Linked DNA regions of Struthio camelus. The protein of the gene in region 1 purifies or fractionates together with the protein of each later gene. This does not show direct contact. Links are inferred from orthologs where the notes say so. Each region holds a gene or a part of one and is shown in the gene's direction. Other genes may lie near its edges.

Region 1 (7,608 bases):
GCCTACAGGACGGATATAGAAGCCAGGGTGAATGAACTGACTGCATCACATCCTGTGTAGCAGGAGACTCTCTAAGATCACAGCAGCCTTCATTGAGGGGGACAATGTTTTTGTCACTGTGGGAGAAATTGTTGCCCGAATGCTGTATGTATCTTGATACTGGTAAGACTGGAATTTGTCTCACAGGGTTTATGCACGCTGATACATATTACGATTTGGAAAATAAAGAAACCTTTTGGTCATGCAAAACAAAAAGAAAGGAAATGTATTACTGTCAGTGCGTTGGGGCACTCAAGGCCAAATATACTTTAACTTAAGTTTAAAATAAACAAATACCATGAAGAATTACTAGTATATGAGGCAAAACAGCCTAAAGCTCTTGGAAATAACAATACACAGGCTGAAAGTATAGCTGAACACTGCCTCATCCTTTGGATTATTTGACTTCTAGTTTTCTGCAGTGGATGTCTGCTGCAGCGTAAAGAAGTTGGAGAGCAACAGAAAGTTCTTACTGAAATATGAGTGAAAAGAAGACAAAGTCATGTCCTTTTCGATGTCTATCCAAAAACAATTAGATACTACTTCCTACCATTAATTTTCTTGCCATTTTGAACTAAACTAGTACTTCCATTGGTCACATGTCACAGTTTGCATGTAAGGACATCTAATATGATCCTGCACTTTCATTTCCACATTGTGCACATTTGAGAACAAATAGATATTAAACTATTACACTAATAAAATGTAGACTTTACAATATTCAAATACGGCCTATCTCAGGTTAATGATGTCACAAGCATGTCAAGACAGACTTGTTTTCCACAATTTCTTTCATCTCAGTAGTATACCGTTTTCTCTGGAAATACAGCTTTCTCTGGAAATACAATCATAGAATCACAAAAATAAATAGGAATCACTATTTTAGATTTACCTTATGACTGTGATTCCAACTCTTCAGTTTTCATGGAGGTTTCACAGTTAAATTCCATATACAAAATGTCCTTTAGATTGCTTTTAGAGGAAATTGGAAGATCCTCAAAAGCATTATCTATTTAAATTGTATTTAACTTTGAAATGTTGTTGAAAATGGAATTATTATGTGTAAGTAGATAAAATTCTTGAAATTTCTAAAAATAATTTTGGTTAAAAACTTAGGGATTTCAGAAGTTTAAACCACTCTCATAACTTGTATGAAAGTGATCTACTGGACATTTCAATGGAGATCTGTGTTTATTGACACCACAAAAATAAACATTTGTTCAGTTGAAGGATCTGGTACATTCACAGTAGGCAGTAGCTCAAATATTCATTTATCATGTTCTAGTGGATTAAAACCGTAGCCTCAAGCAGAGTTCACTGCTTTATCTAATGCTGAGGTACGACGGGCATGAACCATGGATGCAGGATTTTCCCCTGAAAAGAAACAGCTGTAGCCTATATAAACATGTTCTGACAGCTGCGGAAAAATTATGACCTGATAATTGTTCAGAATTTTGTCATACTCCTAAACCGTGATTTCTGACAAACAGACACATGCTCTATCAAAGGGTGAGTCAACATTTTGCTGTGCATCTGGATACTTTTACAATATATCATGATTCTTTCTCTCTTGTCCAGATAACTCTCAGTATCAAATTCTTTGACAAATAAATCAGTACCCAAATCTTTGACAAGCAATGGCCATGACTCAAAAAAGTATATAAGTCTGTGACTGACACTTGAGGAAATGTTAAGATTTTGGCTGCCTCAGGCTTGCCAGTGGAATTATATGACCAAATTTACATCTATGTTTCTAATGGAGAAACCAGCCAAATACGTGTGATCTTGATGGTTTAAAGTACAGCTAACAGAAAATGAGATTAAGATTCTAATTAACATTTGTTATTGTGAAAACAACAACCATTTCTAAATGTCTTCTTGTTTTAATTTATGCACTTTCTGGCAGGCTGTGGAATTAATCTTAGTCTGAGAGGCTTAGAATGATCAGAAGAATTAATTTAGAGGATTGGTACAGCAATGGATCAGAATGATATCTTTGAAGCACTTTCTGCTAAAAAAACAACACTCAAAGCAAGTGACAGAAGTTTTTAAGCAGAACGGACTATTTACTACCCTGTTTGAATGAACATCCCTGTAATAACTAACAAACAGACCCATTCTTTTTCTGCAGTGCAATAAAATGGGTAGTAATTTTACACATACACACACAGAAGCTGGAGAAAATGGCAAAGGACATCTCTGACCCTTTCAAAGGGAATGTATCTTCCATTTGCCACAATTTTCAATTGGAAAACATGGCTGAATTTCGACATGCTTTGAAATAACTCAGTAAATAACATGAGTGGCCAAATTATCAAAACTTGTGACTTCTTTTTTCCAATGAAAATATTCTGAAAAGTAGGAGGCAGTTAAAAGTACTGTGGAAGAATTGTGAAAAGTAGCATAACTGTTGGAGTCTCTGTTGATTCTTAAGTTTGAAAGAAGAAAGTGTGAGATTTCTCATTTTTTTCAAAGAAATTGAAATTTCACTGAAAATATTATAAGCCATAGGACTTCTATTATTCATGCACTAGGGTAGAGCTTCAAGGGAATTTGTTACTCTCCATGTTGCTCGGTCAAACAAAGTCTTGCCTCTTTCTTCGCGGCATTAATATTTTTACGTGAAAGGTAGTGTTTCTAGTTAGTGCATAATATATACATATACATACACATGCCTACTACTCAGATGCTCTTTTTTTTTCTTATCTACAGTGCACTATACCTTCTTTACATTCAGATACTGCAATGCTGCTTTTTATATCTAGGACAAAATGTATCCTTCATGTAATACAGACGGTTGGGATAGGATGACTATTAGACCAATTATTTCCAAGTTCTCATGGATCGCAAAGAATGAAATGTTTGGTGCCGAATACTCAAGAGACTGTAACAGGAAGAAACCTAATAACTATTTTTACACTACTACTGCTAGATTAATATCTTATTTTTTAATTAAAAAAAAATGACTTAAGCTAGTTTCTTGAGACCTGGCACATCCCTCCATTCAGTCACCTATGACCATCACCTGCTTCCTGGTTTAGAAGTAAGCATGTCACCGAAGTTTCCCTTCCCAAGAGAGTATGATTACAGTGTTTTTCAGTACTCTCAGAAATAGTCCCAAGAAAATTGCTGCCTGAGGAAGCATGAGTATTTATCTCTAACAGGAGGAGATAATTCAGTAGGTGTAATTTCTGAGAGGAATATGCAAAGTGATGGAGCAGCAGGGCAGAAAAAAGTTCATGTTCCTTTTTCTAGACAGACAGGCACACTAGTAGTGGGGAGTGAGTGAGCCATATAGGTCAGTGCCTCAAACAGTGCATAAAAATGTTACCCAAAGGAGTTAGGGTGCTTTACTGTATTTGTGTGGCTGCACTGCCACCTGGTGCAGTCTCCAGTGATTACAGCCACTGTCCAACAGTGGGGTTTGCTTTTTTTTTTTTGCTTAAAAAAACCTGCCAAAGGACTACAGTGGGAAGACGCTGTTACAAATGCTAACAATTAGCTTTAGTTACACAAATACATATGAGGCTGTCAGCACACGGGTACCTGACCAAAAGCATTATCGGCAGTCAGGGGAAGTACTCTGTGTCAGCTGAATAATGATACTGCACAATGCAATTCTCCTGTCCCAGCTGCAAAGTAGCATGCCTTTGCCTTAACTACCATGACAGAGGTTTTTGTCATTTGCTATTAACTCATTACCTTGTAGTGCCTCAGTCCTTGAAAATGACCATCAGGTTTGTGCCACTGGATGACCCAGGTTTGGAAGAGGGGCCTTAGGAGCAGGCTGGGCAGCCTGGCCTGCCGGCCCTCAGGGCAGGAGTTCCTCCCTTGCCTCACGCTCCATGATGGCGCACTGATACTTACACATCGCAGGCAGATACTGCTCTCAGACGAGAAGACAAGCCAGGTCTTCCTCACTAGGCGAAGGACATCGAGACGCTCTCATGCCCCAAGGCCGGGAAGCGCGGCCCGGCGAGGGCTGGAGGCGACCGCCCCCGGGTGCTGCCCAAGCGGCGTGCGGAGCGGGCGAAGGCTGCAGCTGCCGCCCGCACCTAGGCCCTGCCACGCGGCCTGAGCTTGAGGGCAGCACGGGCTGCTGCCAGCGGCCTCCTTCCCTAGGCCTCCCCCTCTGACTCTTCCGTGTACTGCTAGCATCAAAAAGCTTTAGAAACAGTTCATTTTCCGTTGCTTTCCGGGGCTTGGCCTGCCTCCTTGGCTCCGCACTTGTCTCTGGAAAAGGGAGCACTTAACCTCCCCCTCCCCGCAAACCTCGGATTCTCGAGCCACCTGTGAAGGTTTCAACTCACTCCGGGGCTCCTTAGGGGGAAAACCTCGGTAACACACGCAAAAATCGCCCGATTCAGGGCGAAGCTGCCGCTGGGCCACTGCCCTCGCGTGACGCAGCTCCGGCCGCCGCCGCCGCGAGATGGCGCCGCCGGGGCCGCGGGGAGCCGCTCCCGCCCCCGCCCCCCGGGCCCCCGCCCCCGCCCCGCGTCACCGCCCGCCGGACTACACTTCCCAGAGTGCCCTCGGCCCGCCGCGCCGCGCGATTGGCTGGCCCGGCCGGAAGGGGCGGTCTCGCGCGCGCCCGCTGGCTGGTGAAGCGGCGGCGAGGCTGCGTGGAGCCCCCGTCCTAATGGCGGCGCTGAAGTACGCGGGGCTGGAGGACACGGACAGCGAGGAGGAGCTGCCGCCCGGTTGGGAGGAGCGGACCACCAAAGACGGCTGGGTTTACTACGCCAAGTAAGGGAGCGGCGGGGCGGGCTCGCCCGGAGCCTCGCGCCGCGGGGCATGGCGGGCGGGGGCTGCCCCCCTCTTCCCCTCAGCGTGGGGGAGGCGGGAGCCGCCATTTCCCGCCCGCCCTGCGCAGGGCGGAGCCGGCGGCGGAGCCGGCGCTTGGGTCGCCTCGGGGCGGGGGAGGGGGGGAACCATCTCTCCGCGACTCCGTTTCTGCTTTTGGTGCCCTCCTGGGGCCGCTGAGGATAAAAGCGTGGCAGAGGTGGGCTCGGCCCCCCGGCGCTATCCGCCCTGTGCGGACCTTCGCAGGTAGAAGGAGAGGAGGACTGGGAGATAAATCCTGCCTAACAGGGAGGAGATAGGTTAGTGCGGTACCGGCCACCTGGGCAGAGCCCTAGCCTCCCACCTTGTGGGGCAGCGATGGGGGAGCGCAGGGAGACGCGCCTGGCTACGGGAGTCCGTTGGAGCACGGCTGTGGCGGTGTTGCAGTGCGCTTTATGGCTCAGAGCGTACCTTCTGCGCCCTGTGGGGCGCGACGCAGGCAACCGAGCCTTACGCAGTATTGCAGTTCTCTTAGTTTTCCTCCTTGCAGGAGTAGAGAAGACAGTTAGTCAAGTTAGTCGTGGCACGTGCAGTAGAAATTAAAAACGCTAAGTGCTCACCCCCAGCTCTGCAGTATACCACGGCTTTGACAAGAGATACAAATTCGCCTGAGGCACCATCTGCTGTGCCGCTTTGAAAACTGTCAAATCCCCACCAGTTACAAAAGAGTGCTGGATTAACAGGATTAACTCAGTGGAATATATGTTTACATATTTTTCTCCTCTCTTATGGTTTCCTATAATTGTGCTGATCTTGGAGTCTGTGTTTCAGTTCATTTAAAACTAAAAGGCTTGCCCGCTCCCATAAAAAGGGGTAAAAGTATAGTGCAGACAGCTTGCCTTATCTGTAGTGAGTTGGCTTCTTCTTCCCAAACTCTGATCTGCAAGCGCTAGAGAAAATGTTTTTTATTTGATATTTAGCTTATAAGCACTGCTAATTCTGTCTAGTCAATTGCTGATCTTAGGTCAGGTTTCCTTATATGCTCCTTCCCTATAGAAGCCCTTTCAAAAAGGGAATCACTAGGTGATCTTAGAAAACCTGTAAAACAGTCAGGTATTGCCTCTTAGCATGAGCAGCCGTTTGTATACGAACAATTAATGTAGTAGGCGTGGTTGTTAGCTGCTGTGAAACTGAGTTAACTCTGTTTAAACTAATAACAAGGTCCATCTTCACTAGCTAAGAGTTTGCGAGTGTGGAAATACAGCTCAGATGGAAAAGGTGTTATGCTATTGCTGCCTGAATATAAGCTCTGCACCTGTATGTTACCTTTGCAGATTCTGAAAATATATTTTTAAACCTTATCAACGCTAACAACTTTAGGCTGAGCTACAGTAGAGTTACTTTCATTTAGGACTTTTAAAGGTCCTTTTGATGAGCTGGGCATGCATGTGGTTATTTACCAAAGCTCAGTGGTTGTGCATGCATGTGTTTGTGAAGCTATGAGAATTTGGTTATGTATTTTGCACCCGACAGGAGTCGGGAATAAATAGGTTAATGCTACACATCAGGTAAAATATGACAGTTTTCATTTTATAGGGGGACTCAGGATCATATTTATCTCTAGAATGTGAGTGTCCTGAAATTCAAGTGCTACTGCGGGTCATATATATGCACCCATTTAATCTTAGACCATCTAGCTCTGATTCCTATAATAGAATTGTGATGTGCTGCTTACTGTGGCTCAACTGCCTGTTTATTTTTTCAAGCTGAAATGAATTGCTTTTCTTGTATATGCTTCGCTGTTGATACCAGATCTTGAGTTTAGTGTTTATTTGTGTATGCATTCAGTAGTTCTTCCTATTCATTTCATACTCAGGCAGCTATTAGTTGGGACACTCTTTCAAATAATCCCTGCCTGACTCTTAAACGCTTGGTTATTGTCTCTAATAATTGATGGAAGATAAAATATTAATATCCAGACTGATTTCAGTGCTCTGGTTCTGTTAAGACCTTAACCTTGTTTGTATGCGCATTGCTTTGCTTACTAGTGTGCAGTGCAAAAAACTTCATGGTACAGTTAATGAATAGCTGATTCAGTTACAGTGATTTAAGTGGAAAAAATGATCTCTAAATTAGAAGATAAGATGTGATATCTTTATCATCCCCATTAAGTAGTCTGCTCTTCAAGGCCTTTAGGATAAGCTCTCCTATTTAAAGATGCGGTTGCTCATGTAGAAATCCAAACTTGTTTACCTTGCAGCTTACAAATCAACATGATTAGAAATTAGTTTTAGAAAGGGGCTCTTCTCTTTTGAAGACTCCTAATATTACTTTGATTAGCTTCTGATAGTCTTTTGCTGCTGCTTCTTTCTTCCCTTCCAAGGGCCACCATCTTGAAGGGAAATTGTCCAAGTCTGTTAATGTTATGCTTTAATTACTCAAGCGATTTTCTTTCTTTTTGTAAGCAACAAGACTTAGATTAGAAGTTAAATGTTGACTTGAACTTTTGTAGACTCCTATGCTGTCTGGCTAGTTATTTTTCCCTCAGAGTGTGGCAAAATGGAAGCCTGTTAGCTTCTAGCAGCACCTTTAAAGCCCCTTAAACGAGGGATTGGCATGTTTCTTTTTTTTTTTCCATGGGAGACAAGCCATGTTCTGTGCTGAATTGGAGGGGGGGAAAAAAAAAGCCCCTGATTGGAGTGCACCAGAAGGAGCTGTTTTAAATCTTCATTAAACTTTTTGTTTGTTTGTTTTCCAGTCACCTTGAAGAAAAAACACAGTGGGAGC
Region 2 (7,436 bases), on another chromosome or scaffold:
GTCTCTGGCATGAGTGAGTCACTGATGACGCATCGGCCTCCAAAGGCATGGAAAATGGCCCATTTATCTATATATATGAAAAAATATATATCTCCCAGAGGATGAGCTGGAAATCATAGTAGTATATTCAAGGGGAGCCAGGGAGAAAAGGCAGACACATGGCCAAGAGGTTTAAAGCTAAAGCCGCATTTACATAAACACTGAGGCTTAAAGAGCTCCTTTACTGTAACTAGTCAAAGGGCCCTGATTTACCGGCGCTGCCAAATCCTGCTACCGCAGGGAGAGGGGCTGCTCTCCGGCTGCCCGTCCGTCCCCCTGCCAAAGCTACCACCTCCGCGGCGCGTCCAAGCTGGACGTGCCAGCGACGACCACCGCTATCGGGTCCCAGCGGGAGGACGGGAGGGTGCGAATGCAGCTGGCGGACTGATGTGCCAGCTCTGAGCCCCCCGCCGAGCGCTGCTGCCGCCCCGTGCCCTGGGCACGGGGACGGAGGGCTGGAAGGATCAGCCGTCGTTGCCCTAGGTGCTCTCGGGGCCCGTATCTCGGACCTGGTGGAGGCGGTGAGCCCTGAAACCCTGCAAGCGGTGGGAAAAGGGAAGGTATGTCTTTCAGCGCTAAATCTTCGGATGAAATCTCGGTTTTTTGCTGGTCAGTGGGAATGTTGCCTGGACTCGTGTCCGGACAGGATTGTGCTCCTCGCGTCCTGAGCTCCTGCCTCAAAAACGCTTTGTTTCCCTCGCGCCAGCCTTTCCTGCCAATCTTTGCCTTTGCGTGAGCTGTCGGCGGTGACATAGCACAGGGATGGGTGCTGTTTTGTTAACACCAGGGAGGACTCGCTATCAGAAATAGTGTAACCAGATTAAAGAGCTAGAGATGTGCAACAGCCCATGCTTGGCTGTGTCCCAAGAGGAAGAGGAAGGTAACCTTGATCTCTGCTGAACGCCTGCAGGAAGAGATCCTGCTTGTGGGCCAACATCTCGGCTCTGTCTGGGCCCCAAATGTGACTGTTATTCAGGCGAAACTCCCACCGTTTGCAGCGAGGAGTTTTGCCAGAGTAAACAGAGCAGATCTGGGCCGTTGCCCTGTTTTGCATGGCCGTAGGCAGCTCGATTACACCCTGGAGGGACCGCGCGCTTGGGGAGCCGCGGAGCCCTCCCTGCTCCATCGCGCCCAACGCGGAGATGCAAGTCTCTGAACCCCTGCAGGGTCTGGGATGGCTTGGAGGGATCCTACGCTTTTCCCTTTCCTCTCTGTCCCTGTTGCCAAGGGGGAATTGCCGTGCGTCCGGGCTCTGCTTCCGGTGGTGCCTTGGCTTTCTGCGGTCGAGGGCCAGTTGCTTAATTCATCTTTGCCTCATTAGCTGGGATGCGGATACACAGCTTTACAGAGGATTTCAAGGGCTTCTGTAGATGTGATGCAGCTGGAAAGCATTATCAAAACCTCCCCTTCCTGTTGCTGCTTTTCATTCTGGTTGAAAGTGCTATAAATCCTCATGTTTCAGGGCATAAAGCAAATTCTAAACAATTTCAGATGGGAACAATCCTCCAGGCTGTTGGACCAGAGTTTGCTCAGACACGTTGATCCTGTCTTCCCAATAATTTGTGGTGTAAACTGGAATGATTAGGAAATGTGCATTACACCAACCCTGGATCTCTGATTTTTGCTGCAAATGAAAGGATAAGTGTGGTGGGTTTAGATAGATAGCACTGTGCAATTTAAATAGCCTTTCTGTGTTCTCCTGAGTTATTTCTGCTGTCACAGAGTGTTCCTCTTTTTAATTAGGATTATTTTTTAAATATACAGTTACTGTAGAGTCTTTTACAGTGTGTGAAGAAACTGTAACGGAATAATATAATGATATTAGAGACTATGAATTGCCATTAAATATTATACAGACATAGCTCTTGGTTTGTCTTTCCTTTAAATACCAAACTAGAAGAGTTGTCCGATTACCTCCTGTTTATTTTTCTGTGTCCTGTACATCTGGCTTAAAATAACAAGAGATTTTATTTTCCACGTGTGTCAAAAGGAATTGAGCCAAATATTTATTTTTATTGCTCGATTGCAAAAGGAATGGAAGAATCCTAGAATCCAATAGTGATATTGCCAGTCCTGGGCAATTCAAAATATTAACTTGTCTCACTTTTCTCTTTGGGTCTCTTCTACCTCTGTCCTCAGCTTAACAATAATGAAATTAAGTAGTTTAGGCACTTTTTTCCTTAGAGTTTTAAGTTTTTAGAGTGTAAATTTCCAACGTTTTTTATGTAATGAGGCGGTCCAGAGATCTCCACGCACACAAGCACTTGTACCAGTAGCATTTTTTAAACAAAGGCTGAGTTTCTTAATACCAAACCTCTACAAGAAAAACACCATTATCGGGCAAGCTGTGACTCATGAGAGGTGGCAGTGCTTCAGCTGGGAACTTCAGTGGAAGCTGAGTGGATGTTTGCTACTGCCTTTAATAGGAGAGGAATCAGGACTGTTTATTATAACAGTTTCTTAAAAGGGAAACTTACAGCTTATTAAAAAGCGGATATGAAAAGCACAACTTTGCTTTTTTCTTGCCAAGAACTATACAGATTATGTCACTGCATTTATTTAAATCTGGTTTCCATTATGCAGCTTTTCTCCTTTCCCCTACTCCATCTGATTCTTAGGTGCTCAGGCAGGGCTGGAGGGGGCTGGGCTGCAAACCCTGCAGGGAAAAGTTCAAATCCATTAAAAGTAATTTAGAAAAATATATGTTATCAATATATTTGCATAGTATATAGGTTATTGATATGAAGAAATGTTCAGAACAGATTGATTAGCTTTAAAGGGCTTCTATTTTAAACAAAAGTATGCAACCATAATTTTTTAAAAGTTACTCCCACCTCCTTGCTTGCCCACCTGGAGGCAGTAGACTATACTCATAGTATAGCTATGCAAATGCCACAGATATTTTCCTGTTCCCAGATTTCTTCCAGACGTGCCTTAGAGTCCCTTCAGTTTAACTCTCTTGAAGATAAAGGCTTAATTTTACAAACCAAAAGCAGGGTGATTTCTGCACAGAGAGCATTTAATATTGGGCTCCAAAGTCTGTTTGCAAGCATCTGTAACACAACGTGTGCGTCAAGCATCTGAATTGAAAAACAGTTGGAAACTCTACGCATCCTTGCTGTGAAAGGCACTGGGCCTCATTTTAGATAAAGCATCACCAGCTATCTGAGATGCTTTTTTTACTCTGCATTACCAAATACCTGAATTTGCCCTGGCCACCTACTGAGAGTCCAATTCTGTCTCCGTTTCATTTATTTCTGGCTTTTCCCTGGGAGATCCTGCCAAGCAGCATTAAAATCACTTATGGTTGCACGTGGCATGCAAACAGCTCCCCCTTTACATGTTAAACTGGACGACATCCCAGGAAAAGCGAATATTTCATGTGCTAGCGGGCTGGCCTGGAAACGCCTTCGGGAAAAAGCGACGGTGCAAGCCGCAACAAAATACAGCGTTTTAGGACGAAACGGCAATTTGAGCAGTGCCAGAGGTTTTTTTGCTTTGCTTTTTTTTGCTTTGCAGGCTCCTACCCAGGCAGCGCAACTTTTCCAGGGCGCCCGTGCGAACGCCACGGAGCCGTCTGAAACGGGAAGCCAGGAAGACCGCGGCCGAGTCAAGCAGGCTCCAAACAACTTAAACCGTGTTATTATATACGGTGAGAGGGACATGTAACCAGATGATTAACAGGTTTCTCAGCGCTTCAGAGAGTCCTCCCGAGGAGCAGGAGAGCGGATCTTCGGATTATCCCTGCTGCTCCCTGCAGAGAGCATAAAGAGGGGGTTTAATAACATATGAACGGCGACTTTTAGCCCACTAAAAGTAATATTGAGTATAAAGCGATTATAAAACAGTTGACTTTTGGCTCTCGGCTGGAATCCCTTAGAATATCTGTAAGGCACCAAGCGCACGTGGTGCCGCCGGGCAGCGCGGGGAGGAATTTGTCGTTCGCCTCGGTATCCACCGCAAACATTTCCCCGTTCAGCCGCGGCGGGCGCCCTGAGGGCCACGCGCGAGCCCGGCGGGGCTCCCGCTTTTAGCGAGGGCGAGCCGTTGTCGGCATGAACGTGCTGGGAGAGGTAGCGTATTTTAGGAGGCTAACTTCAGCAGCTGGGGAACAGAGACAAGCTTTCAGGCCCAGGCAGAGCGGCGCGGTGCGAGGGAGCCGCGTCTCCGCCTCCCGCTCCCACAAACGTCCCTTGTTTTGTACAAAAGCCCTACTGATTGCCAGGCCTTGAGGGATGGCTAGAGCCCCTGGGGCTTTGGGGGGCACGACGGAGGCGGTGAGCGAGGCCGCGGGGCCTGATGCTGGGCAGAAAAGGGATGGGAGCGCCCCGCAAGCCGGCCCGGCCCCCGCTGCAGCCTGTCCCGGGCAGCCCACGGGGCGCTAAGGGCTGCTGAGGAGGGAACATGGCGCCCGCTGGGCTGCAGGGGGACTACAACTCCCAGCATGCGCTGGGGGGAGGGAAGCGCGCCCCGTCGCGTCGTGACGTCACGGGCGGCCGCTATCCGCCGGGCGCAGGCGCAGAGCAGGCTGGGTGCTGCGAGGAGGCGGCGGCGGCCATGGCGCTGAACAGGAACCACTCGGAGGGCGGCGGCGTCATCGTTAACAACAGCGAGAGGTGAGGTGCCCCCACCGCGCCCGCCGCCATCTCCTCGGGGAAGTAGGGGGGCGGCCTCCCTCCCCTCACGGGGGGAAGCGTTAGGGCGCCGCGGGCCGGGTGGGGGCGGGGCCCCCCGTGCCTGGAGCGGGGTGGGGGGAGGGTTTAACCATTTCAGTGCCCCCCCCGGCGGGGGTCGGGCTGTTGCCCCCCTTCCCCCCCCCCCCCAGCCCGGGCCCCCATCTCGCCGCTCTGCCGCCCGCGCAACGGGAAGCCTCCACGGAGCTGCCCCCGCCTGCCGGGCGGTGGGCGGCCCTCGCCCCGTGTGCCCGCCCGGCGCCCCGGTCCCGACCCGGCGGGGCAGTCAGCTGCTCCCGAGACAGAAGAGGGGTTCATTCCGCAGGGCTCCTTTCCGTGAGGCCAGCTGGAAGATTGGTACGGGAGTTATGCCCCTGACTGCCATTAGGGGTATGAACCTTCCTCTGAGAATTCGGGGAAACTCTTGTCTGTGGCTTAAGTTTGCGTTCGCTGACGTAAAACATCTGGCTGCTTAATGTGCTCCCAGCTGCCAGCCTACCTGGGGTCGGAAGTTATCTGCGCTATAACCGGCAAAGCGGATGCGTGCCCGTGCCGCAGCCCAAGCTGCGCGCATTGTTGATTCGGCTCATATGCTGTATAGTGACTAAAGCCACTGCCCCCTCAGCCTTCCCTGGGCTTTTGCTGTGGGGGCAAGTACCCACTGGCAGAAGGGAAAGGCGAATGACTAGGGATGGTAACATGTACGTTGCCAAAGATAAATGCAGCAGAGGCTTGTCCAGCTTTGAATGTTAGCGTGTCTAGTGTGGATGTTGTGTTAATACCTGCTACCTTCTGCATCCATAGAAGGGTGTTGCACCCGTTTTAACCGGGTCAGTTTCTAATTGAGCATTAAGGAGTCAGGGCGGACACCACAGGTTAACAAACTCTAGTGACAAAAAAGAGATGTTCCTCTGATTGCGTTTTTATGATAGAAGTGCTTAAGCTGAGGTTAGACGCTCAACAGCCTTGTCGCATAAGCCAGCTTAAGCAGTTCCTGCCTCTGCACTCCTTCCTCTGTTGTGTTGCTTGTGGCAAACCAAATTAGGGAACTGATCCAGCAGAAATGCAACGCAAGTTTTTTAAAAAAACAAAAATCAGATCTTGATCAGTTTAATTGACTAGATTCACTACCTGCCTATGCGAATGGCTGTAGCAGTGCCAGCACACTGAGGAAGAAGCACAAGGCTGGGAACAAGTAGATAGTACTGCTTAAGTTGTTCCTGCCAACAAAAAAACAAGTCAAACTGATACATCTGCTGAGCGTTTGGCTGAGATTAAAGCTCGTTTTGGTTGGTCAATAGACTATATTCATGCTGAACCACAGTGTTGAGCTGTAACACTGTGTCTCTTCTCTTGTTGTCTTGTTTGTAGCGTTTTGATGACCTATGATCACATAGAAGTTTCCTTCAGTGATATCGAACCTATGCCAGATGCCTTCAAAGGGACCAAGAAAGGGAGTGTTTTCTTGACTCCCTACCGAGTAAGTAGTAAAAGGCATTATCTTGCCTAAGGAGATAAGAGCTCTTTTCAATTCTGTGTTTAAATGTTCTCAGTGCATGAAAGTTGGGATAACCTACTGCCGCTTGAAGTATGGCTCATCCCCTCCCTCTGGGGAGCATTATGAATTCATTGCACGTCCAGTCACTTTGTCAAAAGATGATAAAATCTGATTAGTTCTTATACAGACAGCTGCTTACTCTATCAGGCATCTTCAAGATTGGAAATTAGCAGTGGTCTGGAAGTGCTGAATGTAACAGTTAAGCTACTAAATCATAGCTGTGTGGAGCTGGGAGTTCTTTAGAAATTGGGAGGAGTATTATCTGAGCAAGGATAACGTTTCTAGAAGGCACTTTACATTATTGCATTGAAGCTTTAGTTTAGCCTTGTTGCTCTTTGCAGAATTGACTAGAAGTTTCAGATGTGGGAAGCAGCTTCAGTGCATTGAAAACTCTTTTCAAATAAGAAGTTCAACTGTGTTTCCTGCTTGTTTTAAACACTCTTCGTGATGTTCTTTTCTTTTCAGGTTATCTTTGTATCAAAGGGAAAGGATGCTATGCAGTCTTTCATGATGCCCTTTTATTTGTTGAAAGATTGTGAGATTAAGCAGCCTGTTTTTGGAGCAAATTATATCAAGGGTACAGTGAAAGCAGAGGCAGGAGGTATGTATTATACAGACGTGCAGTTGAACTAAGATGGAGAACATCTAATTCACAGCGAAGTAAGTATCCAGTTTGACCTAAACTGGATACTGACCAGATGGATTTTTACAGTCCCGCTAAAATGTGTTTCTTTCTTTAAAACCAGTAGCTAAAAATATTTCCCTTGTCTGCTTCCTGTACAGTTACAATGAAGAGATCTGTTCTGTAACTGATCTCATTCCTGCCCTCTGTACAAAATATTAAGTTCAGTCAGCCAAGTGATCTCACTGACTGAACATCGGAGCAGAGATCAGACTGTGTCAGCAAGACTGAGGATATCATTTAGTTTTGGTCAGTTAGGGTTATCTATTAATTCTTCATCCAGATCCTTCTACGCAAAACGCTTCTGATTCTTTCCAAGACCTATGTTGGTTTTCAGATGCAGATCGCCAGAGTATTGTTCTCTGTCATTAGTTTCTTGTACAGTTCAAGGAAAGGCATGTTATTGCACCAGTGTATCTTAGCAGTAAAAACGACACTTTCTGGGGAAAGAACAGGCTATTTTGAAATTCAGGAGTCTTCAAGG

Evidence for each region. Proteins that work in one complex are often made in the same cells at the same time.
Region 2: the proteins of WWOX (region 1) and WBP2 purify together in Homo sapiens (affinity purification with mass spectrometry; 3 studies listed by BioGRID and IntAct, with this or other methods). This does not show direct contact. The link is inferred for Struthio camelus from reciprocal best matches to the Homo sapiens genes WWOX and WBP2.

What each region holds. Positions count from the first base shown.
Region 1 is NC_090951.1:7,865,418-7,873,025, reverse strand, and holds the start of WWOX (WW domain-containing oxidoreductase), read left to right. Parts: upstream 1-4,587; 5' UTR 4,588-4,678; coding exon 4,679-4,785; intron 4,786-7,579; coding exon 7,580-7,608. UniProt on the Homo sapiens protein: Putative oxidoreductase. Acts as a tumor suppressor and plays a role in apoptosis. Required for normal bone development. May function synergistically with p53/TP53 to control genotoxic stress-induced cell death.
Region 2 is NC_090960.1:8,821,686-8,829,121, reverse strand, and holds the start of WBP2 (WW domain-binding protein 2), read left to right. Parts: upstream 1-4,428; 5' UTR 4,429-4,443; coding exon 4,444-4,655; intron 4,656-6,083; coding exon 6,084-6,192; intron 6,193-6,735; coding exon 6,736-6,871; intron 6,872-7,436. Other genes in the region: E3 ubiquitin-protein ligase TRIM47, read left to right, coding at 3,559-3,673. UniProt on the Homo sapiens protein: Acts as a transcriptional coactivator of estrogen and progesterone receptors (ESR1 and PGR) upon hormone activation. In presence of estrogen, binds to ESR1-responsive promoters. Synergizes with YAP1 to enhance PGR activity.